Linked DNA regions of Caenorhabditis elegans. The protein of the gene in region 2 purifies or fractionates together with the protein of the main gene of each other region. This does not show direct contact. Each region holds a gene or a part of one and is shown on either strand. Other genes may lie near its edges.

Evidence for each region.
Region 1: the proteins of ZC449.7 (region 2) and B0302.2 fractionate together in Caenorhabditis elegans (co-fractionation; one large-scale study listed by BioGRID). This does not show direct contact.

Annotation. Positions count from the first base shown.
Region 1 is NC_003284.9:17,169,441-17,184,994, reverse strand, and holds B0302.2 (uncharacterized protein), read right to left. Parts: upstream 6,457-15,554; 5' UTR 6,150-6,456; coding exon 6,122-6,149; intron 6,077-6,121; coding exon 6,003-6,076; downstream 1-6,002. Other genes in the region: B0302.4 (uncharacterized protein), read left to right, coding at 8,218-8,268, 8,338-8,382.
Region 2 is NC_003284.9:5,007,005-5,023,605, reverse strand, and holds ZC449.7 (SCP domain-containing protein), read right to left. Parts: upstream 9,533-16,601; 5' UTR 9,487-9,532; coding exon 9,457-9,486; intron 9,408-9,456; coding exon 9,279-9,407; intron 9,190-9,278; coding exon 9,038-9,189; intron 8,639-9,037; coding exon 8,380-8,638; 3' UTR 8,046-8,379; downstream 1-8,045. Other genes in the region: ZC449.2 (Apple domain-containing protein), read right to left, coding at 125-264, 309-465, 514-641, 834-1,053, 1,100-1,272, 1,321-1,396, 1,445-1,566, 2,258-2,315; sek-3 (mitogen-activated protein kinase kinase), read right to left, coding at 2,949-3,105, 3,159-3,379, 3,860-3,987, 4,044-4,095, 4,210-4,329, 4,379-4,516, 4,563-4,731, 4,787-4,890 and 3 more; ZC449.8 (uncharacterized protein), read right to left, coding at 6,050-6,091, 7,187-7,299, 7,348-7,393, 7,464-7,475; hsd-3 (3-beta hydroxysteroid dehydrogenase/isomerase domain-containing protein), read right to left, coding at 12,384-12,869, 13,368-13,508, 13,554-13,733, 13,785-13,880, 13,926-14,102.

The DNA.
Region 1 (15,554 bases), about 12 Mb from region 2:
TTTGAAAGCATGTGCCAGGTTTCAAAAGTACAGCCTGCCATGTTCTTCGAAGAGTAAAGAGGTTACAAAAGACTACGGAGTTTTTGTAGGTAGGCGAACAAGAAATGCAAACAGTTTGACACATTTTTTCCTGGCATGTTTTCTGACAAACTATTGAAAATGTAGAGAAGCAAAACGGAACTGGAACTATAAAACTCTATTGTTTCCGCAAACGGAAAAAAATACAGTTTTTAAAACCAAAACAAAAAAAATCCCGGGAGGAGGAAAAAGAAAAGAGGATGATGACGAAGTAAGTAATGCATAAATTCAGCGCAGACGCAGGCCTAGTGTAGTATTGGAAACTAGAGACACCCCGCCGACTGGAGAATGTTGACATTCGACCGTTGCGAAATAGTAAAATATGTGTGGCACACGTGCGAGAGACGCAGACGGTTCGACACTACATACTGGATGCGGGGGGCAGAGAATTAGAAGAACTCACACAGGGAAAGAGTGAGAGAGAAAGATGAGGAAGAGGAGGAGAAGGAGGTAATTTTGTGGAGGGTGTTCTATGTGTGTATAGGCAGACACCCTCAGAATCCAGTCAGCCAATTGGATCTGGTTTTTTCTTCTTTATTTAAGAGGAGGACGAATAAGAAAATTTGAAAGTAAGAAGGAAAAACTTAAGAAGTCGTTTCATTTTCAATGAGACTTTTTTACAACAGTTACAAAAAGCGGGGCGAGAAAGAAGAAGAAGCGAAAGCGAGATAAGAGAATGAACTGGAACGTGATTCACTGACATTAAGAATGATGATTGTCACCTATATGTCTAATACGTAGTTTCGAAATTCTTGTGTTAATAAAGGTAATAAACAAGTTTGTGAAGTGTTTAGAACTAAAATATGCGATTGAGCAAGAAAAATGTTTGGGGAAAACACAACGGGATGTTTATCAAAACATTTCTTGCAAAAACAAATGTTTAAAAAATTTGAGTTTGATGCAAATTTATAGAAATTGATGGATGAAATTGAAGAAATTGAAAGACCAGAATTTCTATTTCTAAAGGAAATTCACAATGTTTTGTGTTTTTGGACAGTTTGCTTACTCATTGTAGAATGACTACTGCAGTTAGAAACTTGACAAATCCAGCTTTGATATTAAATAATCTGACTATTAAGATTGAATCAACAATATTTATTTCCGGATTTTTGATATACTTTTAAAAAATGTGGTTCAAAAATGTGGTACATGTGAATTAGCTGTACCCTAGAATTTTTGCAATTCCATAATGTTAACCACGCAAGAAGTAATTATTTTTATGCTATTCCTTTCTAAAATACAAAAAAATTACGCTTCAGTTTTTTTTTTCAAATTAAAAACATTTTAGGGTATAGCTAATATACAAAGATAAAAAATGTTAGTGCAATGCTTGTTCTTTTAACAATTTTAAAAATTGATCTAAATTTTTACAAAAGTATTTTCTGCCCTATTCAGTGTATAATTTCTGTTATGGGGTTATTCAAGTAGTGTCAGAAAATTAAAAGTGTACAAAAATGACGTTACGACTGTATTAAATTACATAAAACCATGTATTTTAATACAGTTGTGACGTCATTAATGTATTAAAATAAATTTTGCAAAATTACATGAATAACCCCATTACTTTCGGAAAACTTTTTTTATCTGGTTTTGTAGGAAAAATTAGTTTTATTTATATTTTTTTTTTGGGAACTCCAAGAGAACAGAGTTAGAAGATTTTAGAATTTTGCAATGATGCTCAGCTATTATAAAATACACATAATTTTTAATTCTGCATCTGACTTTAATGAGCACCGGATCAATATTCCATTTGGTAACTTGGCTTATTTTAACTTTGAAAAACTTCAAAATGTTTAAAACGGAAAAATCTCTGTGCGCAACTGAGCAACTTATTCACCTTACCTAATGTATATAGGGCACATAGATTTGAGGACACGAAATTTGGAAAAATTTCAACATTTCAAGTTTTTCGTGTGTCAAAACACAGTTCATAAACTATTCTCTTGTGTTTTTTTTTTGCTAATTTCGATATTCGATTTTTATGCGCAAAAAGTTTCAGTGTTTATAAAACTTTTCTTTGTTTTTTCTACCAAGCCGAACTAAAAAAAATCGCAAAAAAATTTGAATCTCTTTGTTTGCTTTAGAAAAGAATGCCGATCATGACATTATCAGTTGCGGAAGAAAAGAGCAGACGGACTTTTTGTTTTGTTTTGTTTAACCAGCTGTTTGGCTTGACAAAGAAAACATATGCGACGAGTTTTTTTTTCCAATAAAAATTGACACAAATTAAAACTTAAGCTTCTAAATATTATAAGAATTTTCACTGGTTTGTGAATTTGAAAAAAAAGAGATGTCTAAATTTTGTAAAAACGTCAACACACTGAAGATCGTATGTTTTTTGTAAGTTTTTTTTAGCTGTTTGATGTCTAAAATTGGTGATTATTCGAATTTTTAATTTAATTGAACTGAACTCTGTTTTGACTTCATAAACTTTCCTACAGATGAAAAAATTAATTTCTCAATTTTTAGAGGTTAAACGGCAAAGCACCTTTTTAACACAAGTTAAAAAACAATGCATACTAGACTTGAGGGCTTCAAAAAAAGTGAAACTCATAAATCAAACTGGTAAGTGCCTATTCAAATGAAAATATTATTCGCCAGTAACAACAAAAAATGAGGGAAGAGTGCAAAGGTATAAGCTTTTAGTCAAAACTGAACATTGATTTAATTTCGAACAAAACTATTTTCGAAAATAATTTAAAAGATGACATCAGTTGAATTATAGAGTTTGCACAGTTGCTCTTGCAACTAAACCGAAAATTCCTATGAAAAATGCAGAAAAATGTTCCAAATCTCAAACAAAGCACGCCACGACCTTGCATTTTTCTTTGATTTTCTATTCAAACTTCAGCAACTTGAGATAATCTGACAATAAAACCTCAAGCAAACGATGTATGTCAAGTGAGAAGCGAATAAAAAGCACAGCAACAACAGCAGCAGCAGCGCGAAAGGAATAATACATAAAATTCAAAAAGAAAACGGAAGAGAACAATCGGATGCGCACTTGAATAAACGAACGAGGACGATGGCTCGCTGGATTGTCGTGGGATAATCAATACAGGTGTCACAAAGCGAGAGAGTGTGGGAGAGTGAGAGACTCAGCAACGAAGGGACCATGAGGTTTCCATGAGCGTTGTGCATGTGGTTTCAATTTGAAATTGTTACCGGAGAGATTATATCAAAATCGTTTATGTTCTTCACATAATGTTCAAAAGTCTTTATCAAATAATGTTATATCTGAAAGATATTTAGATGTCAAACTGAAATTCATACAAAAAAAAAACATTTGTCGCAAAGTCACAACTGTATCTTTTTTGAACGGTAATTTTATTTTGCTGGATATAAACATAATTATATTATCTTTCTTTGTTTAGTTTTAAATTATTATTATTTCCCATTTACTTGTTTTTTTCTTTTTCAAAATCAAAACTTTTCTGAGAATACGCTTTGCCCCTTCCCCTTTCAAATAAGCGACAAGTGAAGAGAGAGAGAGAGAGAGAGTGTTGGTGCCGCAGAGAACAGAGGTGTAGTCTTATTGAAATAAGCGCAGGGAAGGCGATACAATTATTAGGAAGGTTTTTCTTAGTACTTGTCTTTACAAAAATACCGCAGTTGATTCCTTAGATTCTCATATTCAGTTTAGATTACTATAATAATTTTAAATCGGGCACAGAAATCTACAACAAAAATTATAATTTTTTATATTTTTTTCCAATGCTTAATGTTTCAAGCCGAATTGAAATAGAATAAACTTGTGAAGAACACTAGACATTTGAATGTGTTGAGAACAATCTTTTATTTTGTCAACACGTTTTGCTGATATCATCGTCATGGAACGCAAAAGCAGAACTTGAGAATTTTCAAAAAAACACAAGGAGGATCGGAACATGTGTTGATGAAATGACATATGACGGGAGAAAATGAGAAATCATGAGAACATCAAGACAGAAAAGAAAAAAACTCTGGAAAACAAAACGGAAATATGTTTTTAAATTTGATCAGTGATGTTTAATTCAAAATACAAAGAGTAATAATCGCTCCGGAATGGACTTTTTTTAAAGATCAGATGGGAAAGCCGATATGTGTGAACTAATTTCATAAACTTTGCAGGAGTTTATCAAAATTTTACTACCAATAACCGTGTATTGTTTGGATAATATTATATTTATCTTTTCATAAAGTTTACAATTTGAGAAAAATCCAACTTTCCGAGTAAAAACCTAGAAAACGTCAATTCAAACTGAATTCACACTGCAAACTGTCAAGCGGAATTGGGAGTCTCGTTTGGCCACCCCCACGTGGTTCTTTGAAGAAAAACTTCAGTTGTTTTTTTTTGAAATTTTGTCTTGATACATAAATCCTACCAAACTTCGAACTAGAAACAAAATTATACTATAGTTTTCTCTGTAATCACAATGAGAACTACAAGTACATTACTTCTTATCAAAAACATTCAAACTTTCTCTATTCGAAACGATTTTAGAAGCATCGTATGTTGCACTACACAACAATACATCCTTTTTGGTTGTGCAATCAACAAAAAAATTTATGCTATGAAAATCTTTCTTTACGCTACAGGGCGTGGAACAATGCCCTTGTCTCTTCATTTTCAAGGTGTTTTGCAATATTTTTTTTTTTCAAAACTCAAAAAAAAATCTTACCTACTAAGTGAATATATCTGTCGTCTAGTTGGCGCAGATCACAGGTTCCCCGATTTTTTTGTTCCTAACTTGGTTGTAAAAACGTCTGATACGTTGTGTGTGCTTATTTCCTGCTTATTGCTGAAGGTGCTTGTTGCTCCTTTCAGCCAAATAGTCTTCCATCGATTTTTTCTTGCTCCAGTAGAATTGAAATTTTAATATAATTAGAACATTTTGCAACGTACCAGATGGCTTGCACATCAATGAAGCTCGGCCGATGGTCTAAACCCAACAAAGTATCAATGAAGCTCGGCCGATGGTCTAAACCCGACAAAGTATCAATGAAGCTCGGCCGATGGTCTAAACCCGACAAAGTATCAATGAAGCTCGGCCGATGGTCTAAACCCGACAAAGTATCAATGAAGCTCGGCCAATGGTCTAAATCCGACAAAGTATCAATGAAGCTCGAGCGATGATCTAAACCCGACAAAGTATCAATGAAGCTCGGCCGATGGTCTAAACCCGACAAAGTATCAATGAAGCTCGGCCGATGGTCTAAACCCGACAAAGTATCAATGAAGCTCGGCCGATGGTCTAAACCCGACAAAGTATCAATGAAGCTCGGCCAATGGTCTAAATCCGACAAAGTATCAATGAAGCTCGAGCGATGATCTAAACCCGACAAAGTATCAATGAAGCTCGGCCGATGGTCTAAACCCGACAAAGTATCAATGAAGCTCGGCCGATGGTCTAAACCCGACAAAGTATCAATGAAGCTCGGCCGATGGTCTAAACCCGGCAAAGTATCAATGAAGCTCGGCCGATGGTTTAAACCCGACAAAGTATCAATGAAGCTCGGCCGATGATCTAAACCCGACAAAGTACCAATGAAGCTCGGCCAATGGTCTGAATCCGACAAAGTATCAATGAAGCTCGGCCGATGGTCTAAACCCGACAAAGTATCAATGAAGCTCGACCGATGATCTAAACCCGACAAAGTATCAATGAAGCTCGGCCGATGGTCTAAATCCGACAAAGTATCAATAAAGCTCGGCCGATGGTCTAAACCTGACAAAGTATCAATGAAGCTCGGCCGATGATCTAAACCCGACAAAGTATCAATAAAGCTCGGCCGATGGTCTAAATCTGGGCAAGCAGCCAGGGAACGTACCCGACAATCTAGTTTAGACTGATTTAATTGGAAATTCACTCACATGCTTTATTCTGGTTTGAAGAAACACTCAAAAAGGAATGTGAGCTCAAAATCATATAATTCCGAAACATCTATAATACAATGGCTTGTCGTTCCGGCAACTTCTGCTTTGGATCAGATCCTTGCTTCAAAATTTGTGAAATATCTGAAAACAACAATTGGAACATGTACCAATATATTGATAACTTACCGAAGGATAATCCCGTACCAGGTTGCATTGGAGAATCGTTCCAATTTTGACGATACGTACATTTCTCTGGATACGTATTCTTATTATTTCGGTTAATTTAATTCGTTCCAGTTCCATCGGGTAACGTTTTCACAAATCTACACTTCTCTCAAAATCAAATATTTTTTCCAGGAATTGAACTGCCGCAAGTGTCGAACATTTTTTCGGATAGAACAATTTGAGAATCTGAAAAAAAAACAAATTTTCTTTTTTCAGCACTAACTAGTAGCTGTAGCAGGTAGGGCGAATGAAGTGGGACCAAAAATACAGTCGGAATAATGTGCTTTGAATATGCCTAGGTTTTGTACGTTTGAGAACTGCATTGATGGTAATGAGTTAAAAACCAATTTCCTGGTACACAAATAAAATATTCAATAAATTCAAAAGTTACACATGGTACCTTATACATATTACTTTAAAAATGAAATTCTACTTGTCTGCTTATCATGGAAATCTTCAAATGTATCGCTTCCAAACGCTTCAGGGCTCGCTTCAAACAGTGGTTTGTGGATTCCAAATATATCTCATGCGTTCATATCTCCACTGGCAGCTCTAGATTTGTATCTCAACTCAAACTCAAGCGGGACTTTTAGGATTTCTTGAGTCCTTGATATTGTGTGTGTGTCGCCAATTTCTCCGGGAACGCGCTGTTTTTTAAGCAGGTAAAAGGAGGTCATCTGTGTTAGAAGTCAATCCCTGTAAAATGTGAATTTAATTAAGCTGAATTTCTTTTTAGGTAAGATTTATTGAAATTTATCTGGTATTATGAAAATTTTTATTTTAAAAAGTATACCCCAAATAAGATGTGAAACTTGCCTGATGATCTAAACCCGAATAAAGGGCCATGCTACATTCTGGTTTGAAAAAAATAATCCTCTCAAAAATTCTCGATCTTGAAGTTTTCCTTCAAATCAAATCAAGCTGTAGTAGAAAATTTGCAAACATCGATAGTTGGAGTACTCAAACTCACTGATTTCGATCTGACGAGTTCGAATTTAACGGTCACGCTTCTATGAGCTGTCCCTAAAAAAAAGAAGATTAACAATATAGACAACGAAGATTAAGAAAACAATAATTCTTAACTAGAAGGAAAAAGCTAATACATTGAAAGATTAAAACCAATAAAACAACCCAACTGAACAAACGGACACTGCAATTTTAAAACTGAGTAATAATATAAACTTCAATCCAGTTTGTTTTTCTTTGTTATACAAAAAAATTGAGGAAATACCAAAAGCTTTTTGATTCACTTTCGCAAAACTACAAGACACATCAAAAATAAATAATAATATACAGTGGGAATAAATTTGTTTTAGTGTTAAATCGATTATGAGAAAAGAGGTTACATTATTATATTAGGATACACTCTCAGCTGGGACACTCTGCGGCTGCAATTACGTCACATACACTTCTAATGCAGGCACAGTCAGAATGTATATGTCGGCGACTCTTCAACTAGGACACTCTGCGGCTGCATTACGTCACATACAGTTTTAATGCAGTCCCAGTCATAATGTATATGCCGGCGACTCTTTAACTGGGACACTCTGCGGCTGCGTTACTATCCGCTCTTTGCTCATCATCGCCTCAACGCTATAGCGCGTTTATTCCCACTGTTTTGCTATTATGTATTTGTGTTTGTGCCTTGCAGTTTTGCAAGCGTTAGTGAATCGAAACGATATTGGTCTTTCCACAAATTTTTCGTATACCACAAGGACTGCCAAACAGGAATGAAAGAGACTCTAGCGTGCAAGTTCATTTTATTACTCAATTTTAAAATACTTAGTAGTGCCCGTTTTTTTTTGTTTTATAGGTTTTATTCTTTCAATGTACTAAAATTTTCCTTACTTCATATTTCTAAGAATTATTTTTTCCTAATTGATTATTTTTTATTTTTTCAGGGACAGCTCATAAAACCATGACCGTTAAATTTGAATTCGTCAGATCAAAATGAATAAGTTTGATTACTCTAACAACGTTTCCAAACTTTCTATCACAACTTTATTTGGTTGGAAGGACGACGAGGATTTTGAGAAAAAACAGTTCTTCAAACCAGAATGAATCATGGATCTTTTTTCAAGGCTACTCGTCCGGGTCTAGACCATTGGGTACGTTTCATGGCTGCTTACTCGAGTGTAATTATTTCAAAATATATACTAACTATATTAAAATTTCAGTTCTACTGGAGCAAGAAAAATCGATGGCAGACTATTTTGCTGTAAACAACGACAAGGGCGCCCGCCAATGCGCAGAAAATCAGCACACACAACGTATCAGGAGAAGTTGTCATGCTCCAGTCAAGTTAAGGACGGAAAAAATCAGGAAACCTGTGATCCGCGCCAACTAGGCGACAAATAGATTAACTTTTAGTGAGTAAGTTTTATGTAATTTTAGTACAATTAAATGTTTTTAAACAAAAATCGGAAAGTACATTTTAGTACAAATTTCTGTCCGGTGACAACAGACCTTTTAATGTTGGTTAAAAAATGTTCACATTTTTCCCAGGTTTTTGCTTGAAACTGTGTCTTCGGTGATGACAGAATTTTTACTGTTGTGGGTAGTAAGAAATGAAAATGTTTCAAAATTCCGGCGCGCTTCATAATAATATTTATCACGTAAAGCACTACAAATTGAATATATTCTTTAGAATGTTGCATCATGTGTCAGGATAATTACACGTCACTTTTTTTGCTTTCGTGATATTTTTCATGAAAACTACTAAACGGAACTTTGTTCACATCTCCTTTCTCAAACCCATTCATCAATTTCAGCTATTTTCAACATTTCTATGAACGCACATCTATTCAAGCTCTGAAAAACACCAGGGGCTTAGCTTGTTTTTGCTAGTAAATTAGAAGTTGAGCCTGCTGGTGGGTTTTCCGCGGTTTTTGGATTTTAATATTAACTTTTTTGATTAGCATGCCAAAAATATCGGTGTAAAAATTAAAACTGAGAAACTAAAAACAAAATCAATATTCGTAAATAACCCTAAAACTTTATTGCTCAAAAACTGAACAAAAAAACAGAACGTTATCACTACAAAAGTGACAAATCTTCTTCTTTTGACTCAGGATACCAATGATCCATCACTTGTCGGTAACCATCACAGACTGCCGGCCACTTAAGATCGTACACTTGTTTGATTAAGTTCACGTCGAGTTCATGAAAGTTTGCCCATTGTCGGTACGCTAACATTTTGAATTTTTTCTCAAATTGTGGTTCTACGATTGTTCCAATATATTTTGTATTCATGTTTGAAAATTCTTATATTGTTCTGATAGTATAGAACTTCCACTACTTTAAGACTATGCTTGAAATCAAGGTAATGGATGAGTTTCTTGATTAAGTATCCGTCAAATTTCTTATTTCTTGAGTCTTACAAGGAACTCTAATTTTATGGTTTTTTATACATACTGAACTAATGACGACATGACCACTTGTAAAATACTCTAAACTTTTGCACAATTTTTCCTAGACACCTTGCAAGCACATTTCATTTCTCTAGGTCACTATTAAGTTACATATCCGTCATCTTCTCAATTTTCGACATGTGTTTCAACCATTCCGAGTGCCGCATCATTTGACTGAAATACAGCAGACTTTTTGACACTAATTAAAAATGACTTGACTCATAAGGAACACTCTCTGAAAGTCTTTGGGCATTGATGTTTTTGTCGTCATAAAGCTTTTTGTTGTTTTCTTGCCTTTCTTATCTGGCTATTCAATATTTTACATTTGTATTATAACTCTGAAAATTCCGATTTGTCATCTTTCGTGATGAATTGTGATAAAGGCTGAAAGAAAAAAAATGTTCAAAAGTCCGTAGTTCCCTAATTCTGCCATACTGTGTAGCACGCGGGGGATCCCCTTAAACTCTCCCTCCACTTTTCTCATATTTCAAACAGAGCTCCAAAAACCATCGTCTACCGCAAACTTTTCCATCCACCCTCTTCTTGGATTTTTCCAGTGTTTTCGTTTTCATTCTACCCCGTGCCTCGTCACAGCATCATATTTTCAGTCACCGGATACTTTTGCAAGCTTGTCCAAGTTCACTTGTTTCAATTGCTTCCAATGAAATTTTTTCGGTTTGAAATAAAAAAAATTAATTTCTTGAGTTTTGATGACACTCTTCTAAAAAAACACACTTTCAATTTAGCCTCAAGTCTTCTTGAAGTCATAAAGTTAGAATTGTCGAATATAAAACGTTTGCTCATTTTTATGAAGTTTTATAAATTATTCCACAACCCCAAATATGCATATTTTATTGATATTTCTGAAATGTTCACCTGCCAAATTCGCTAATTTGGTAAATTTCCTAAACTGAGTGAACATTTTTAAAGAAATGAAAATGCTTATAGTGTTTTATTATGAAACTTACTCTTTTTTAACCCAATATTAGTGTATTTACAAATAAATTGAGTCTCCACTGACGATACTTTTAATGATATTCTGCTAAATATGCAACCGACATCGATCGAGGGCATTACTTTTTGAAGCATTACCAAGACTACTGTAGCAGTAGGTTGTACCTGGCTACATCAATGTGGCAGACTTGTTCGAGATTCTGAAATTTTTTAAAGTTTTGAAACTTCTACGCAAAAATTGTCAGTCTTCAATTCAAAATTAGCCGAGTTGGGTTGAGATCAATTAATTCAGTATACAGAAAAAACATTCATTTTTTTAAATCCCACAAATTTCCTAACTTCATGTGTTCTGTGTTTTCATCTTTTGCTCATTCTTTCTTTAACGGAGTAAAAAAAAATCTGATCTTGTTTCCGTTTCGTTTCTTTTTCTCACGCTAAATTTCAAACATCTTCTAAGCGATCAACCAAACAATCACATTATTATCTACATGGGGACTTCGTGCAAATACGAGCCGCTGGTGGTGACATGGTAGAAAAGTGGTAAAAAGCTGTGAGATGTCTGTCGGTAAACACCTGGGTACTTTTTAGCGGAACATTGGATCGACAAAAGCTGAGAAATACAATACAACTCGAGGATTTTCCTCCCCCTTTCTTTGCAACTGTTCGTCTGCCCTAGACACTTTTCTCCAACAACGTAGTTCAAAATTGTTACCGAAAATTATGTCTATTAGGTCTTGTTAAGTTCCGCGTCTTTTATATTTCTCGCATACATCTTTGCAATATAAAAAAATGAAGGAAACTTGAAATGATGTACTTGAGCGTATCAAAAGGTCAGACGAAACAGAAACAGAAATCAAATTTGAACCGAAGACCATACATATCCCGGCAACGTGTTGGTCAAACATTGTGAGACGTTTTGCAATTTTTTTCGCCAGTTTCTCTTTTCATTTTTGAAAAGTTATACAGTACTGTTCTATTGGAGAGTGTGAACGCGACGCTATCCAATTTCCTTGAGTCTCTGTGTACGTATGTGCTCAGTATGTTTGAGAAAATGTGAACCATAGTTGGTCTTCGTAGGTTAATAGGGTTCTGTATTTTTTTACAAGTTTATTGAATTAGTTTTTTGTCGAAAAATATTATGTGCAATTTTTGAATTAGTTTTGAGATCCGCTTTCAAATCTGAAGAGGTTGTTTCTTTTTTAGTTTTTTAAAGAAAGCATCGAGCAGACTGTCCGTAGGTAGGCACAAAAATATGCATGTATTAGACAGGCACATACATAGGCAGAAAGGTAACAGGCAGGTACTTGGCAGGCACCTAGAGAGGACGGCAGTAGACATATTTTAAAAAGGTTTGCATACAGGTTTTTCAGGCAGGCATATACACTGAACAGGCGCACGGTCAGGCAGGCGTTAGAGAAATAAGTAGGCACTTAGAAATTTAGTCATTATGTTGACACGGCATTTTGGAAGCGTAGGCTAAATTGAAAGAACTAGCACATGAGTACAGGCATACAGGCAGGCAGAGGGGATAGGCAATTAGGTATATTGTCTGGCTTATATGCAGACATGTATACACGCAGGCGCAGGGCAGGCCTATAACCAATCATAAGTAGGCGCAATCTGACACAGGCATGTATTAAACCGTTTGAAAATTGCCTGATTCTGATTCCCAGTTTTTTAAGTTTTGATTCAAAAATTGTCATTTGATCGAAACATTTAGATCAGTTTCAAAGTTGAAGTGAATCATACATATTCAGTAGTACTTGAATCCTTCAAATCTTCTTGACTTTTTGCAAAACGATGACAATTTTAAAATCATGAAGGTGGATGTCGCGACATGCACGTTGACCACATACTACAAACAAAAGTGTGTACTTATTCCTGTATTCCAAAAAAGTAGTTGTTCTGTAATTGCAATGAAGAAACCATCCTGTTAGATATCTTACGGATTGTTTTTATAATTTTTAATTAAAGGTTTTAAATGAATAATGCCTTAAACCAAAAGATAGCTGTGGGCTCAATGAGAAATATAAAATTAATTGAACAAAGTGAACCTATTGTTAGGTACAACTAATAAAAAAAAATTTAGAACGATATTAGTGTACTTTTTTTTAAAATGCAATTTTGAATCTTTACCCAATAAATTTACTATACAAACAAAATTGAGTTGTTTCCTAAACTACTTATTTTCTGCTTATTTCAATTGTTTCCTGAACCACAAAGTTTTGAAACTTTTTCTGATTCATTTTTTTCAATTTTTTTTGCAATTCGCTTCCAAACTTACCTCGCTATATTCCTCTCTACCCAAATTGTGAATCTCAATGTTGCGATTTTTGTAATTTCAGCTGTTATTCAAAATGCTAATACATATTCATAAATACGATACAAAGTATGTTAATTTCCTGCCACTGTCGTTACGTTATTGTTTCAAAACAAATCAAAATAAATAGTTCCTCGTCAACAGCTTTACAGTAAAAACGTGTTTCGTCTGCTTATACTGCAACTTTGTTCTTGAAATTTTAAATTAGCTTTGCTTGGAAAACATAAACTTTTAATGGCTAACCAATAAAACAAATACACTTTATTATTTGCTATAAAACATTTTTAGAAAAAAAAAACTAAATGTTCTACTTCCTTTATTCTAAATTTTACTTTGTACTTTCGAACATAAAAAAGAGCATTTTCTAAAGTGTTTTCGGAAGTATTTTTAAAACAGAAAATAAAACAAAAGTTATAGTAGAAAACAATTGAAGTATTTTCCAGAACCTATGTGCCAAGTTTTCATGTAGACATGCATTTCAATTGATTTTTTGGAATTTCAAAAAAGCGAATTTTTTCAAAACATGTTTTGAAAAAATTTTCAAAATTGATTTGAAAATTTTAATTACGAAATTTGTTCAATAGAAGGCATTTTGAGTGCAATATAAAAATATCAAAACCGTTAATCATCCGTTAAAATCTACAATTTGCCTACAAGTTAACGGGGAAATCTTTTTTTTACAACACTGTTCCTTAAATTTTTGGTTTTATTATAAACCACGGTTTACAAATACTTTTTATTCTCAATTTACACTATAACTTTTACTTCTAAGATACATACAATATTACACTTTACTTAAAAGGGAAAAAGTTCAATCTCGTCCGTTTTCCCTGTTCTTTCATTCACTCAATAGCCACAAGTGTTTCATGATTCCGAGGTACAACCAAACAAATATAAACCTTTGAATGAATTGAAATCGAGGGGTAAGTCCTCGCATTGATTGACTGTGAAAAGAAGGATGGGGACGCAAAAACACACTTTCCTCATCTGTGGACTGGCTATTCACGCTTCTTATTCCATTTGCAACATTTTGTTTGAGAAGTGGAAGTTTTTGTTCTCGTAAATCTAAACAGCTTAACAAACGTTATCCATAACGCAAATTGCTTTACAAAAGTGATTGATCTTTCATCGATTCTGCCATGTTTGCCTTGTTTCACTTCTTCCTAGAATGAATTAATAATGCGCGTGTTCTAGACCTCATTCTCTATTTTTATAGCTTGCTGATCACATGTTTTGGTAACCTGATAGTTGTCGTTATTCCTAGAATCTTGTTTTCAGATTTGGGCTTGAATAAGGCAGTAGCTTTCTAATATAAAGTTCATTGCTAGTTTCAATGTGATATTAAATTTGCAACAGATCTTGTTAAGTTTTAAAGCATTTTTCCAAAGCGAAAATTTAATTTCGAAGTTGCAAAAATTAAAGTTTAAAAAATTGAAAGAAATGTTGCGAATCCTGTTCTGTTAAGTTTGGTTATAACGGTTCACACTCTAGTGTTGACACTTTTAAGGTAGAATCTTCTTAATACATTCCAACTTAATCTCATTGTTCATTTGATTTGGACAAGCCCTCTGCGAATGTTTGAAGCTGGCAAATCTTGTTAGGGCACTACACACTGCTTGGTCAATTGTGTTCTGGACTCGAGGTCCCAATATGGCACGCCCAGGATGCTCTCTATAAACACTTGTGTAAATTTTTGTCAGCATGAATTTTGACTCTGAGGGTTTAATACTCAAATTTTGAACTTTAATTTAGCTGATTAGGCTAACACATTTAATTCAGAGGAAAGTTATCAAAAATCTCACAAGAACTTTCATCCAGCCAAGGCGATACTCGGGCGCATTTCTCTCACCCTTCAACTTACCCTCCTGTTGCCCTAGGATACTTACTTACTTAGGATACTTAGACGATCCGTTCTTCAGGAATTCGTGGTATTCCTGCGGATCACAGCAAGCCATTCTTTTCGGTCCTTGGCTATAGTGGACCAGGGGGTGATGACTTCTCCGTCTGCGTCGCGAGTGGTGATCTCCTTTCGCAGCGAATCAGTCCATCGCATCGGCGGCCTTCCAACAGGCCTTTTCCATCCATATGGGCGCCATTCTGTCATCAACGTGGTCCATCTTCCGTCTTTCCTTCTCGCAACGTGTCCAGCCCATCCTAGCTTCCTCTTTTTCACGAAATTGAGCGGATCCCTGACTAGAGACATCGTACGAATGTCTTCTCGATGGAGATCTCGCTCTCGTTGTTGGGTGAGTGTTATCCCAACAAGCCGTCTTTCTAGGGAGGCATGTGTGATTCGTACTCGTTCGGATAGAGCTTTGGTGAATGTCCAGGCTTCTGAACCGTAGGTGAGCGCTGGAAGGACAATTGAGTCGAACAGATTCGCACGAATCTTCTTGTCGGTGATGGAGTCGGTGGTGTTCTTGATTCCATTGAATGCAGCCCAGGCTGCTCGACGTCTTCGGTGGATTTCCGGCATCAAGTTGTTTTGGGCGTTGATTTGACGACCAAGGTAGATGTACTCGTCGACGTCGTCGAGCTGGGTGGTGGGGGAAGGGCTACCGAAGTAGACTTTACTGGGGTCAGCGAATCGGTTTCGCAAGACTTTCGTCTTCCCAGTATTGATCTCGAGACCTACTTCAGAGCATTTTTGTACGAGTTCTTGGAGCATTTTGCTGGCAGTATTCGGATGATTGGCGATGAGCACAATATC
Region 2 (16,601 bases):
CAAGACCGCGAGTTTGGCTGAACCTGCTTTGAAACAGCTAAATTTTTTGAAGTGGCATGCAATAACCCTCTTAAATGTATACCACCAACGTCAGGGAACCAGTTTGAAAACCTTCAGTTCCCACCTTGCATTCTCGATTTTCAATGCACTCTGATAAGCACGAAATTTTCGAGGCAAGTCCAGGAACTCGTGCGATAATATTCTTCATGAGTTTCTTGTAAAGATGTACCGGATACAATGTCTCTGCATCACAGTGATATTTTGCTGAAAAAATAAAATTGAAATACTGCTTATAAATAATGACAAACTTTTTATGCAAAACTTGTCCCCGAAATTATGCTCGTCATCAATAGCCAATGTTGCAGAATCACTTTCATTTCTGGTCTGTTCTCCGTACATTTCACAAATCTCATTTGTTGGCTCATAATTCAAAGAATAGCATGGTATATTTTGACCGATTGCATTCTGAAATAAAAATTCGTAAATTACTTCATTAATGTTATAAATCCTAACAATGTTTTGACTGCAATACATCAAGCAACTGCTTTGGTCAACTCCATTCAATCTCTGTGGCAACATTTTGGTTGATAACCGACTCCCATACACCAAAAAGTAGGACAAAGTTTCGTCACGTTGGCATTCTGCAATACATGCCTTTCAATGTTTTTTGTTGCCCCGGTGGCGGCAGATAAAACCCAGCGAGTACGCTCTCTTTCGGCCTGCTTAGTATAGTGGTTAGTACTCCACGTTGTGGCCGTGGCGACGCTGGTTCGATTCCAGCAGCAGGCAACTCCTTTTTGCAGTTCTTTAAAAAAAATGTTATTGTAGCTTACTGTAATTATGCGCTGAGTTTCTGAACGAGGTAATGATATCTGGATGTGTTCTTTTCTTTGGTGGTGATGTTGTAGTTAAATAGTCCATATCAAATTCGTCTTCCATCGCCTGGCGCTCTATTTCTTGTACAATTGAATTTTCAAAATGAACTGGAGCTTTTCGAACATTATCTCTTATGACTTGAGGGTTCGGGTCTTTTGGGAAATCAGAATTCTCGAACTGGAAATGCAATTACATTAATTTTCTCTAAACAAAAAACTCCAACCTTTGGTAAATTTGGAATAGTTTGAGCTTTTGGAAGCGTGCTTATTTGTGGAGTCTGCAGTTGCTGAATATTTTGCTTGTATCCACGAATCGGAGCGATTTTGTCTTGGCACTGTCCATCCCAACTGCTGCGAATGTAAAAGTCGTGATCCTCCAAATACACCACCTCAGCGCCTGAAAAATGGAAAATTAGTGTAACTTATGATATTTGTAGTAACAAACCGTTGTGAGTTCCATCGTGCCCATAAAGCTGGCAGGTACTGAACTTTCTATGGAAGACCACAGAAACACAACCATCCTGTAATTTTTGTTTGAATTAAATAAGTTTTTAGAAAGCAAATTTTACTCCTTTCTGAGCTGCTTGTGATATACAGTAGTTAAGGCATTCTCCGGCAGTGACGTGAAAGAGTTCAGCAATGGCGTCAGAGTTGGATACTGCGTGGCTCGGATGCACATTGAAACATTGCCCTTAAATTACTGGGTGAAGTAAACAGGAATACCAAAATTGACTAACGTATCAATTGCGTCTGTTTTTCAAACCCGTCTATTGACGGCTTATATCTTGGTTGTCTTACTATTAGGTCTCATTTAAAAAAAAAGTTCAACAACCGAAATATAGAAACATATTTTGCAAAAAAATCAACAATAACCGAGATACTATCTGCCTCATTAAAGCAGTGGGCACAGAGGCCGGGCTACATGGCAATTGCCGGCCAACCGGCCAAATGAGCCAGTGAATAATGTTCTTCCAATTCTTTTCTCTAAAATTTAGTGATAGAGTACAGAGAAAATATTAGTTTTGCCTGAAAACAATTTTAATTTAAGTTGGAACATTTGAAAAACTGCTCAAAAATTGTCTGAAAAACTCCGAAAAACTATCAAAAACTGCTTCTGGTAAATTCCAACTTTCAGAAAATTATTTTATTAGATATTCATTTGTTCCGACTGAGATGTAAAAAAAAAGTTTTTACATAAAGAAAGTATTTTTCAATATGCTATCATTTGATTTTAATGAAAAATATTGGGAGAACATGCCACACTGAGTATGTTTCTTATGAATTATAGTATTACGCTCTACAAATTGACCATCAAAGTTTTAAAGTTGAGAAGTAGAGTACAATACTAATTTTAAAAAATGATATTTGAAATTTGAACTTACATGTTGCATTAACAGTAGTCAGCAAGCAAGTCAGACATAGGAAAAACCAAAATCGCATTCCAACCTAATCAAATGTTTCACAGATACGATTCGACAAACTTTTCTTCCTTTCTCTTTTGCCCCCTAATTTCAACTGTTTCTCGCGCGACAGATATCTTGACCTCCATTCTCGCAAATCCATGGATGGTTGTTGTTGTCTTAATATTAATAATAACAATCGAATGTTTGGCATTTTAGAAATTCACTTTGATGATCAATTTCTTTTTACAGTGTTCATTTTCACTCGAAAACATGACAAGAGTGACATCAAAACGAGATGATAGAAACAAAAGACAAATAAATGAATCACTCTCGTGTGTGTAATGTAGAAAATGAGCTTCGGTGCTGATTAGAGAGTGAAATAGAAACATCTTATTGAGAAAAATAATCACAAATTGATTGGTTGTGAATGACTAGAATATGCATGGATGTTATCACAAATACATTGAATTTACTTTAAAAAATTGTAGAACATGATGAGGTGCATGGGAATTTGTTTCGGTAGTTTAGAAAGAAAAAAGGCAACAAGTAGTGGAAAGTTGAGACGGACGAGGAAAATGATATGAATGATTCCGTAGTGAACAGTGGAAATGGGGAAAAAGGTATTGAACAAATAATACTAATAATACAAAATGGATGATCCATCCAAAAGTTAAAAGATAGCAAACGGAAGACGAAGACGGTGTTGATACATTTTTAATACAAATTGGCCAACAGTAACACGATGCTCTTCTTGGATGTAGTCTCTGTAGATGTTTGTTTTCTTCAGATCGTCAAAGCTTGCTCGAAGGTTGCGATCTTTTATAGTGCTGGAAAATATGCTGATGTGGGAACAATGCAAAATTTAAAAAAAACCACTTACCACAACGCAATAAACCGTTTCATCGACATCGAAACTTCGTGATCTGAATCCAAAATTGGAGGGTCTCCATAAACAACCATTCGAACTTGATCGAGTATTGGAGCATCCATGAAACCATCATATGGGTATTTGCCATTGGCCACTTCGACCATAGTGATCCCCAAACTCCATACTTCAGATTTTATGTCGTATCCATCGCCATTGGGTGCAAGACGCTCAGGCTGAAATGGAATCGGTAATAAGCTTTGACAATAGGTCCTTTTATTTTTAATTTCTTTTAAAAACAACGTACATATGTCGTTTTCCAAAACTGAAGATTTTTTCAAAAGAAAACACTTCATACAAAAACGCGCAGCTATTTAATAACGCATAGTAGTGAAGCGCAGCACGCTATTTTTTTTTGATAGGTCAAATTTCGGTTTCGTTTGTAAATATGAATAAATTATTTATTACACAACGAGTTCTGTCAGTTAAGAGTCACAATTTTTAAACAAAATTCATAGCTTAAAAGAAAAAACAACGAAATTTCTTTAGTTTTAGGCTTCCTGTCTTTTTTGATAGTTTCGAAAATTCACGAGATCTCAATTATGTTGAAATGTGAACTCCGACCTTTGTTAGGGTGTTGTTTCCACGGAGACGCATGCAAATAAAACCCCGCTTAAATTGCGAAATCTTCATGATTTGAATATTTCAAAACTTACAGCCATGTACGGACGGCAGCCGACATCAACAGACTGAGCAACTGAGTTTTGAAGATAGCCGCAGATACCGAAATCGCACAACTTGACACAGCCATGTCTGTCCAGCAGAATATTCGATGGCTTGATGTCTGAAAAGTGATAAAAACAATTTTGGAAAAAAAGCGAAATTGGAATGGGAACTTACCTCGATGTATGATGTGGTGTGTGGTTTTCAGATGCTCCAGTGCTCGAATGGTCTGAAATATACAAATTGAATACGTTTTGGTGTAGTTTTGTTAACGCAGCGGATGTTTTACTTTATCAAGGAATTTGGTTTTGCAGGCGGGTTTTAATTGTTCAAAAATATCTACCGCAACTGCCACTGCTCCGAGGATCTGTTCTGGAATCTCAACCTTCTGAATATCATGTGCAATCATGTACAATTTATCGAGCGACAAGTCCATCAGCTCCATGCACATCCAGGCGACACCCTGAAACATTGACAAATATAATTTATGCCAAATAAAAATTAGTTTTTACCTCATTGAAGGTGATTCCGTAGTATCGAACAATCTCATCACAGTTGCTGGCCGCTTTTGTTGCTTCAACTTCCAGTCGGAACCTTTGCATCGATTTATTGAACGCGTCGTCCGGGCCGTTGTTGATAAGGGAGATTTGCTCAAAATTATCGATTTTTCTTTAAATTTTCCTTTTGTAAACTTACTTTAACTGCCATTTCTACGTTAGACGGCCTGTGAAGCATCTTTCGAACCACTCCAAAACTGCCATTACCCAATAGTTCCAGCTCTTGCAAGTGATCTCTTTCAAACTCGTGAATTCTATCGTTTGGTGGGAGGACAAGAGTGTTTGATAGATATTTCTTCACATAATCTCTGAAAAAATACAATTATCATACAGTTGAAAAATGTACCAATCAATATGCCTTACAAGCTATTCATATTATCTTCATTTGTCAAATCTGGCTCTGGATTTCTCATGCCGCTCAAGTTTAGCTTTGCCAGATTGTGTCGATTTCTTGGCGGCGCGAAGGCCTGAATTCATGAATGGATTAATATTTTTTCGTAATAAAACGAAAAGAAATCTTACATAAGTATGCCCGTTTGCGTCCGGCATAGCCGGTTGTTGTAGCTGCCGTTTTCGAGAAGACGTACTGCAAAAAAAAGAGGTGTGGTATATTTCGTAATCTTCAAAAGTTTTTGAGAAGCAGAAAGAGAGAATGTGTGGAGTATAGAAGAAAAAGCGGGAAATTTCGTCATTATTGACTGGCGTGTTCATTAAACTAGGTATGTTACCTCTGTCTGACGCCACTCTGTTTGCATGCACTCGACTTGACGACATTCTGCGGACTTGCCCTGAATGATGAATTATATGGTGATAAGTGAGGCTGGTGGCAAGTGTAATAAAATATTGGAGAAAAATAAAATTTATCAATACTCTCAAAAACTCCAAAGTTTCGCTGAATATTTGCTCAAAAAGTCCTTGGAAACAGTGCAGGGAAGAAAATCGATAATTGCGCCTTTCCTCTTTTTGCCTGTGCGCAGTGATACCCTCCGCTGGTGAGAGGGTGCAAAATAGGGTGCAACAAAGAGTGGTCCGTTCAATAAAAATAGTAATTCTGGCAAAACTAGCACTACTCTCAATGTGTTCAATTGAAATAAACAATTTTTAAGTTTTAATCTATTTGGCGTGTGGTTGAAAAAACTTACTTTCGTTTTTTTGGCGGATCCATAATTTTAGGAAAATTATTAAAATATTGAATATTGTACACCGGAAAGTTCAGGCAATTTTTTCATCTAGCCATGACTAGAGATGCTACAGAAATTTGGTAAGTGCGGAGAGAACAAATAGCTTCGAGAGAAAACCGTCGGAGAGCGCACCGACCGCCTCTATTTCTTTTATTGAGAGTAACTGAAAAACAAAAATAAAGAAAAAATCTACCCTTTACCAAATAGAAGAGCAAAAACCAAATTTTTGTATAAAGCATAATAAAATATGAAAATATAATTTAGCAGTGAATATGAAATAGTAAGAAATTGGACAATTATTATGAAATTGTAAAATAATGGAACACTTTTGAAAGGCAATTGAATTTTATATCAGGGAACAGTGTTGAAACACTCGACAATGCATTTTTTTTTCTTCCTTATTGTTTTGGCAATTGAATGACACTGGTGGTTTGTACTTTTGATACTAGTCTTTAGTGCACGGAGTATTTGGTGGCGGAATGGACCCCTGAAATTGAAATTACGATTGTTCTTTTATTAGTATGACTTGCAAGAGTTCCGAAACTTCATTAACTTTCAGATTCAATCAATTTTAGGTTTTCTTTGCAAACACGTACGAGAGAATTGGAATTGTAGGTTCGTAAAAATTACTCGTCAGTTACAGTTATTGAAAATAAAAGTTTTCATTCTCCAACTCAAAAAAGTCTTAAAATTAGTTTTCCAGTTCTTATTTGATATAAAATCGTGAGAGTTTTCAAAAATTAGTATTATAATCATAAAGCATATGATAATTGGTTAAGTTTGTAGGATCACGCTCACTTGTTAAGAAAGTTATTCAAAATGTTCAAAGGATTACTAGAAAACTTGAACCGGTTTTTTAAAAGTTTCTTCAAAATTCTTAAAATAATTAATTATCGTATATTATGTATTGAAACTGCATCTCTATTTGTACTGCATCTTTATTAGCACTGCATCCCCCTGTTTTTTGTTGCAAGAACCATCAATACAATTTAGTGTCATTTTTGGTGCGATTTTCAATGGTTTTACACTTAATTACAGAAAACTTTCAAACTCTTTTCTGCAACAATATTTCCAAATTTTTATAAATTTCTACATAAAATATAAGCTTGTAGAGTGATTAGTGAAAATAGTATGAACATGCGTTGGCAACCGCACAAATATGTGTAAGCACGTGTTAATATATGGTATAACTCTCATAAAGTTTTTCTGCGATTTTGTGAGCACCATAGCAGTGGAAGGCTTGGCTTTTTAACATTTGCCTTTTCAGGTTCAATTGTTCAAATATCCATTTAAAATCTAGTTACAAAACTTTTTATATGCTGAATCAGGTATATTTTTTTCCTGGAAAAAAATCCAGAATCATCATTGAAATGAAAATCCAATATCAGTTGAAATCACTTTTTTTGTTAAATTTTATTGAAATGTTTCTATTGACTTTCAAATAAATTAAATTATTGCGCATTTGTTATATTAATTTCGAATTTAAACAAATTTCTACTTGAAATTTTACTTTTGCTCATGAAACTCATACGGTAGTTTCCTTCTTTACATAGTGTTTGGTGTTCATTTTCTAGATGTGTACCTTAACCACCGTCGACTGGTCTGTGAAGCTTGGTGCCACATCTTGGTTTTCTTGAGTTTTGAGAATCGAAACGACATTCGTCAAAACTCCCTCGGTCTCTTTGTGAAGCTGATCTGTAATCTTTATTGTCACACTTTCTCACAGATAACAAAGCAACCAACCATCATCTCTATCCGGATAGTTTCTTTTCAAACTGTTCTTCTTTGTCTAAAAAACAATATTGAACAAATTGTCTTTGCTTCAATCTCTTAGATCCGGTAACAAAAAAAACACTCACCTCATGAGGCATGTCGGAATAAGAACTTTTGGGCGGGAGGGAGAACGTTACGAACTTTGTGAGCACTTCTGAATAAAAAATAAGGAAATTGAAAAGTTTTTTTGCTCCATGAGCAGAATGTTGGGCGCACAAAAAGAACGAAAATTCTCATTATAAATCTAGCACCAAATTAGTTTTTCTTCCCCTCCCATTCCACTTTATTAGAAACTAAAAAAAATCTGTTCATATTATCTTATGTCCAAAAATTCGAATGCTATTATGGGAAAAAAAAGAAAAAGAAGAAGGTATTATCGAAGAAAACAAAGATATTTAATGTGGTTATAAAAAAATCGAGGGCCAAAAGTCGCTTGCATTATCCCTTCATGGAGCGGTTTCATGTGCTGAGTGCATATAAAAATGGGTGAGAAGGAGGGCACAAAACGCTTCAGTGAGAATAGGTTGTGTGCCTTTTTGCGCATGTAAATTAAAGGTTCAGTTTTGAAATTTGAATTTTTGAATTGACCTCTGAGGATTTTAGATCTGAGAAATAGAAATGATAAAGACGATTGAATTTTGGAGCAAAAAAAAACACAAGAAAAAAAATACAAGAAGGGGCTTTTATTGGAATCAAAATTGAATTTGGAACACAGCACAACGTTTGCATGCCTGTCCCACATCAAACATTGAATTGAAATGCAGAAGTGAGAGGGGGAGAGAAAAAGAGGCAATTTTTCACACTGCATTAATGCAGATATTTTTATGATGGGAGGGAAAGGGGAGCAGATCGTTTATGGAATTCATGGAATGGCGAAAGAGACTGACAATCATGTTCCTAATGGAACGAATGGCGAGGAAGAAAATCGGTTTCTAAAAAGAATGGATTCGAGGTGATACAACAAAGAAAATGCAGAGAAATTTCAAAATGTTATGTTCCATATCAATTATCCTTCCATAATTCTTGATGCACAATTGCATTCGTATTTTGCACAACCACACTACGCTCATTTCCAAATCTTGAGTAGTCTAATTCGCCGGCACAATGACGTTTTGCTGCTGGCTCAATGTCGTCGTTGTCGAGCTTGTGACGGATGGCCATCCTGTCGGTTTTAGGTTCTCCGTATGCACATTGGTAATAGAAATCGTTGCAGCCGAGCTTGTTGGTTGAAGTGTAGATGATCTTGTCATATGCCATTCGGCTGAAAAATGAAAATTAAGAAAAATTCTGTAGTTTTGAAGGAAATATTTTATTTCTGGGGAAAATAAATGACACAATGTTTTCTACTTTCAGTTGCTTATAAAATTGTCAGGCTAACTATAAAATGTTTCGTTTGGAGTCTAAACTTTTAGAGTTTTAAAACATTTCAGTCAAAGTTTGACAAATTTCCAAATGCTCAAAAAAACGAACTTTTAAAATAAATTCGAAAAGCTCCTGGTCGTATACAAATAATGGGAATGAAGTTTAATGTGAATACACTCATCCAACATGACCGAATATCATAACAAGCGCTAAAAAAATTTCAACTATAAAAAGATCATGTGAAAGTTAATCTGTGTGGGCAGCCATGCCAAACGATAGCTAATTTTACTGAACTTACGGATCATTCTGGAAACCAAGATGATGGTTACTATTGCTTGCTTTTTCAACATCAAACATTTGATAGGTGTACTGATTTCCTATTTCTTTGTTTAGTTTCACTAGTGCATCAAGTTCCGGGCTTTTGGAAGTTAGAAGTGGTTGTTGGTTGAACTGAAATAAAAATTTTTTGAGCAGGCCAGAATTTGGGATATTTTTTCAAACTTGAAGAAAATTTTAATTTCAAAAATGAAAGATTTTACCTGGCATGCTGGAATATCATACTCAATTGGAGGAATTGTAATGGTCAAAGGTGTTTGAAAGTTTGTGCTGGTTGTTTCCTGGCTCCTGGGCCTTACATCATCAGAGTAAACGGTATTATTTGTGTTTAACTGAAAGTATATCAATTATTTAATTTAATTTTCAAAAAAATAAACTTACCGGAGACAACATAGACGATAGACTCTGCATTATTTGGGGATAGGGGAAAAGTTGAAATAGGCAGGTCAGACTGAAAGAAGACAATATATGGCAAAAATGTCAACAGTGGTATCGATACGTGCGGTAGATGGGTGGACTGATAAAAAAGTTCATGTGTTTGGTTCTATCAGAATTCTGCTCTAAAACTCAGAATTTGTGGAATTGGAAGATAACGATTGGCATTTTTAATTGTCAATTTTTTTTTTTTGGTAAACCCAGTCAGAACTAGAAGTCTGGTAATTGATGATAATTTTAGCAAAACTTTGTATTTACATCTACCAGCAAGAAAATATATTTGACCAGTTTTATAACAAAATGGAGCACAACGTCCCAATAATGCAGGCCTTTAAAAGTTGAAAAAAAACCACGAATTGCTTTGAGGCACATACAAGTAGTTGTGATGTTCATGACAAACAAGGAAACTGGTTTTAAAACGCTGATAATTTTCCACGAGGCAACTACTGAATCTAATATTGTTATGGGTGTGCGGCCTCGTACACCCATCCAACACGTTCGTTGCAGTCGTTAAAGCCTCGTTCACTTTTCAGGGAAGTCACGGAAACATCAAAAACTGTAGGAAATGAAAATCTGTTATAAGTGAACCACACACTGTCAATGGAGACGCATTTCGGATGAGATGATAAAAACTGCCACAGATAATGAATGACCCGCAGAGATTCGAACACAAAAGGGAAGAATCGAAACTGTTGCGCATTTTCTATCGAATTAGTTTCAAGCGTGGAACAAGTTGTTGGGTAAGGTTATCTAGCTATGAAGCTTATAACGTTTGTATTTGCTTTAAGGGTTCCGAATGTGGGCAGTTTCAAACTTCTCGAACTGACACATCCACTTTGACGAATTCTATCTCGGATCTCTATATAATAGTTATATCAAAAAAAGTTTAACTACTGAAATATATGTAGAAAAATATTTTGCTAAGGGGGTGCAATACTATTACATGAAATACGGCATAGCTAATTTTAAATTTCCAGACAAACTTTTCAAAAAATGCATCTCAAAAAATGTATTTAAAATAGGTACCTACCGAAAGTTTAACAGCAGAAAATAGCTTTCATCTTTAAAAATTTCGGCTGAAACTTTTTATGTCACTTTTCGTTGAACGTTTATTTGAACTTTGCCGTAAAGTAGTTGTTTCTCACCTTATATTAAATCATGGAAGTTTTGTAAACCTGGAAATCAATTTGAAATTTTAAAAAAACATTCGAAAGTTCATTTTTTTGGAATTTGTGACATTTAGTTGAAAATTACAGCCAAATATCTACAATATTAGCATTTTTTAATAAACATAGTTCAACACCAAAAATAACCATTTGCTCTTCATTTGACGTCAACTGACACAATGAACTTTGGCTAAGAAAATGAAGTGAAACCCATAGAAAACGGCGCCGTGACGAATAGTTTTCCATTTATTCGGGAGTGGCGATGAAACGCAGTCATTTTCTGGCGGAATGTCGAAGCAGCGACTCTTAAAAACTCATTTCATACTGCTCTCCATGCCAACATCACAATTTATGACAAATTATTCAACACTTGTTGACGTTAACATTTTTTCCAATGTCGTTTTTTGTTCTTCCAATTTTGAAAAACTGAAACTTTAAGTCTGATCGGAACAATATAAATGTAGCTATTTGTAGTTCTAGATCGTTAAATTAAAAAAAAACATTGTGCAGGATGTTTACAGAAACTGAAAGTCAAAACCTAGAATACAATTTTTTATTCTAATTTCAAGTTTAATGTATTTTTTGTATATTTTTATTTTGAATACGTTATACCGTGGCCTACAATTTTAAGCAATTTTTTTGTTGAAGTTAAATTTGAAGCTTTCTATTGTAAATTTAAAGGCACAAACAAAACTATTCTGGAATGAATTTTGCGTGGCAAGACCCATTCGCTTAAATACAGGGTGGCGCACAATTACCCGCACAAAAGTTTGCAGCGGCACCACGTATGCAGGGACAAAACATTGCAAATGCGATATACAAATACTTGATCATTATCTTGTTTTTCACTATTTCGTCAATTTTCAGCTCAATCCGTTCTGTTTCAGCAGAATGGTACCACTAAGTCCGAAGGTCAAATCTCCTTGTTTTTGTCAATAAAGGAGTGAAAATCAACATGGACCTGTAAGTTTTGATATTTTGGAGAAGAGTTTGATCCCATGGACATCATCTCACTTTAATGGAGTAACAGCAAGACGGCACACCGCCAATCTCACTCAAAGCTGATGCGAGACTCATTTTACCGCGTTCATTCTTAAGAATAACTGGCACCGTCATCGCTGGACCTCAACTTATTGGATTATTCCAATTGAGGGTTCTTGTAGGCAAAGGTCCATACCAAACCTCACTTAAGTATTGAGGCTCTGAAGAAGATCTTGATCGTGGAATGGGGCGATTTGTTGGAGGAGTATCTGCGTACAGTCATCGATGCCTACCCGGGACTTCTTCGAGAAGCCATGGCTAAGAAAGGAGGTCGCATGGAGCATGACTAATCAAGTTATGTTGTTTTGGATATGAATAAACTTTTTGTTGAGTTTTATGTTTTTCTGACGTCTGGTTTTAAAGTTACACTACAGTATTTGTGTGCGGGTAATTGTGCGCCACCCTGTACATGCTCCTTGAAAGATGTACCTGCTTTGAAAAAAAAAATCAGGTAAAACTGCTTCCCTTTATGCATAGACAGTTTCTAAGTTTTTCATAATACAATTTGGAAAACCAAAAATAGTGACAAAAAGACACAAATACTTAAAAATAAAACAACTTCCATTGTCATGTGATTTTTAGAGTTTTCCGATTGGTGCAGCTTTGGTTTAGCTTTGAGACGATAGTATTCGACAGTCTGGAATTTTTTTATGTGTGTTTTGTTTTCTAAATTGAATTAATATTCACCTTTTCAAAAAGATTTTGCTCCGGACAATATCCCAATTCTCTTCGAGCCTTTTCAATAGAATATGTGTTATCTGTTATCAAAACCTCTAGTTCGAATCGTGTCATCGGTGGGCTTGAGTTAAAAATTTTATAGCAGAGATACGATGAAAGCGATACAAATGTAGAAACAAGTAGACACGAAACAAAATGATGAGGTGGTGTCTTGCCAAGAGCTTTTATTAAAGGGGACCAAACTGAGTACTGGCCGACTGTCTCACCATCTGTTATGAAATACACCTGAAATCTATGGACATTTAAAACTTTTAAAATTTGACTAACTTCTCCATGAGAGCCCTCTTTTTTTGATAGCTCTTGATTTGCCAGATGAAGAGCAAGTCCACAGTTTTCGCCACTGCTCATGTTTGAAACAGACTCCCGACCATGGCGAGATATTTTGACCATAAACAAGTTTTTACGGACCATTTGCTGAAATTTTAGATTTTTTAGTTTTCAAAGATGGAGAAGCGAATTTCGGTTCAGTGTCCTGCAATAGAGATATGTGCTACTTTTTTTCGGTGTATTAACAACAAATCCCTTTTTTCATCGTTGTGCCAAAACTTTTTTTGCAAGGTTACATAGAAATAATAGAAATAGTATCTAGTATTTTATAAAATAATTTCAATTTTCATTGGAAGTTTGGAAAATTTGATATAACCTGACTTAAATATTAATTGGCAAATTGTTCGATATATTGCGGCTTTGAGGTAGTTTTTGAGCCACTTCTTAAAATTCTCCACAGGAAGTAAAGTAATTTTTAGAAAATAACTGTGTTTTTCTACACATCAATATAAATTCCCAAAAACTGATTTTCTATCAAAAATGTTGAAAATAATGTATCAAACTGTTTCACTATACAATTAAGTTTTGCAAGCATTTTCACCTCATTGAGGAACAAAATCCTTACGCCACATCTAAATTACTTACAACAACTTTCTCAGCAACTGTCACATCTTGAGGGCCATAAATTGCTCGAAATCGCAAGCAAGTTGTTTTAAATTGTATAGTAGACTGAGACCGCACAAACGCTTCAGCTTCTGCTTTTGAAGACGAGTAAATATCAAGATACTGAAAATATGATTGAAATTAAAATCTTATGTCACATATCAATACTTCCGATTTCAAAGGGTAGGGTTCCGATTCGTCACAATTGTAAATTGGTTTTCCCACAAACACTACAGCAATACTTGAAGAGTAGATAAATCTTGGAACACCAAAAAATTTACACTTTTCAATCAGAAATTTTGTGCCAGTTACATTGAATGCGTACACATATTCACGATGTTTTTGGGCCTGAAAGCTTAAAATCTTAAATTTTCAAACTATAAATTCTATGATTTCTACCCCAAACCATCCGGTGTGCCCAATTGCACATAGATGAAATACTGTAATAGCGTTCGGTAGAACGCGTTCAAGCACTTTTCTATCAAGGAATGAGCCCTTAACTGTTAGTATTAATGACAGAATTTGAAATAAAATTCAAACTTTTTCATATTCCACAAGACTTTTATCAAAGTCTATAGCTGAAAAATGGGATAATCGAGGATTCGGATCAACGACAATGCATTTGGTACGATCCCCATTTTTCTGAAGAGCTGCTATAAGATGAGCACCAAGGAATCCACCTCCTCCAGTAATAACGTAGTGATTTCGCGGACACATTGAATGATATTTCTTGGCAGATTACACCAAAATCAATACAAAAAAGGTATTTTCAAGGTCATTAACAACAGTAGAGTTTTAATAGGAAAAATAATTCTAGTCAAGGTTTTCAGTTGCTTAAAAACCAAATGAAAGTTAATCAAAGTCAAGTTCCTCAAGTAAAAATGAAATAGAATGTTCTTGTTTTACTCAACAAAATATAATAATGCCTAGAAATGGAACGCAAACGTGTGTTACCTCCCATACCAAAAACCCGGTCACAAAGTGCAAACTCTTATCATTCTCCCTTGTGGCAATAGAAGATTAACAGTGATTGACGTTCTTATAATTTACCGACAACAGACTCACTTCTGTTTTAATACCTACATGGAACATGAAGATAAATTATAGAACTTCCTATGAGTAAAAATAGTAATTTACGGTACTGGTCGTTTAAGAATTCTGATTTAATTTTAAAAAAATAAACGGTATGTGTCCGAATAAAACTGGTTTAAAAATTTAAAAAAGGTTTTAAATGATTTTTTAATTTTGCCAAATGTATTTTCTGTAAGATATTTCCTGAAACTTTAACATTGGCCTGAAAATTGATATTTTCACATAAATTTTTTCTAAATAATTTAGGGAAAATTATTTGAAATTTTGACAAAACATATTTTAAATGATATCTAATAAAAATCTGAAAAAACCGATAATTTATGCAGTCATTTATTTAAGCGGGAATCATTTACTATATATAAAGTAGAGTTTACTTCCGTCCAATATAGGATAATATCAATTCAAAAAAATCAAATTAATTTCAAAATTTCAATGTTATTTTCAAGGGGTATTTGAAATTTATTCCAGCCAGTTGGATGCGCCGGAGGCGCGGTCAGCGTCTGGTTTAAACATAATTGATACAGTTTACTTAGTTTTGCAAATAAACAAATAATAAAATTTTTTGAAAACTTTCATTTTTACAGTTATATTCAGCCTGTTTCATTTTCTATCATTTAATGCAAGTTTACCAAACAATGCAACTTTTTCTGTCAATGCTTAGAAACGGTAATTTGAACGTTTTGACTTAAAAATTCAAATTTCGACAGTTCGTTCGTCTCTCCCCATAAATCGACCTTTCACCCTCCATTACCACTTCAATCGCAAAATCTTGTGATCTATTGCCCTTTAAAAAAAACTCCTAAAAAGTCGTGTTTTCCTTGATAAAAACGTCTGTGTGCCACCGATCAGGCCATTAAAACTTGAGTACAATGTTGAGAATATTATCAGAGAAGTTGAGAAAACGTGGCACTTTTGACAGATGCTAAAATGGTGATACAGATTTATTGCTGTACGAATTTACGACCGTTGGGACGCAGTGCACAAAAAAGGTTAGAAAAAAAACCGTTTATTTTACATTTCGATAACCTGTTACGGAAAAAAAAGTTTTAAAAAATCAGAATTTTGAAATTTGTTCACAATTGTGATAACTTACCGTACCGTTAGCGTAACTTTATTTGTTGTATTCTGAATAGTCAAGAAAGTTCCAAGAAATCCAAGTGAACAAAGGGTTTCGAGGAAAAAATGTTGAAAAATGAGAAATTGAGCCAGTTTTTCTTCCTGCCCCAAAATACTCGGTTTGTGGGTTTTGATATTGAATTATCGTTGATATTTGATGTATACATTAGCACCAGTTCTTCCCAGTTTTTGTGTCCACAGTTGTTGTCTACAGTCTACAGATACATATATAAATTAGCTTACTAAGTTTCTTGATTTTTTAGAATTTTCTTCATTTTTTTTTGGTTATTTAATATAACCAAAAAAATCTGGATCTATGATATGTGCATTGTGAGTCCACAATGCCCTCATAGACACATTACACATTAACTGTAACTGTACTTTAATTTTTTACAAAATAAGTTTTTAGCATAAAATTACAGGATTTTCCAGAAACCCAGTTATCATTAAAAAAAATTGTGAACTTTTTCAGTAGGTCAACTGTTTGTTATCAGTGCCATAAATATTGTGCCTTGTCGTACAAGGTATATTGGTGAAAAAAATTTGTGAGTTGGAAAAAGACCATATCTCTTGATAAAAAATGCAATCTTGAAATTAAACCAACCTAAAATAACTCGTTTGAAAAATTGAAAAAAAAAGATTTGTGGTTGTGGTTCACATAGCTTCACATAGCTTTTAAAATTTTCAACTTTTAACATTTAGATTTTTTTATTTAAATTATAAATATTTGTAAAATCTGAAGTATTAAAATTATTTTCTAAACTTCCGATTCTCAGTCAGTAGCTGTATTCAATTTTGTTAACGGAACCCCCTAGCGTTTTTTTCACCTTATCAATTTGCTGATAATAAAAACCATGATTATGATTTGTTGTTAAATCAGAAATTTCAGTTTTTTTGGCAATGATAACCAATTTTATAGTTAAGCATAATCAAGTTTATGTACTTTGGTTGTCAGGAAAACTATGAGGAATTTAGTTCAAAATTTTTTGAAATTTTACTTCATTAAAA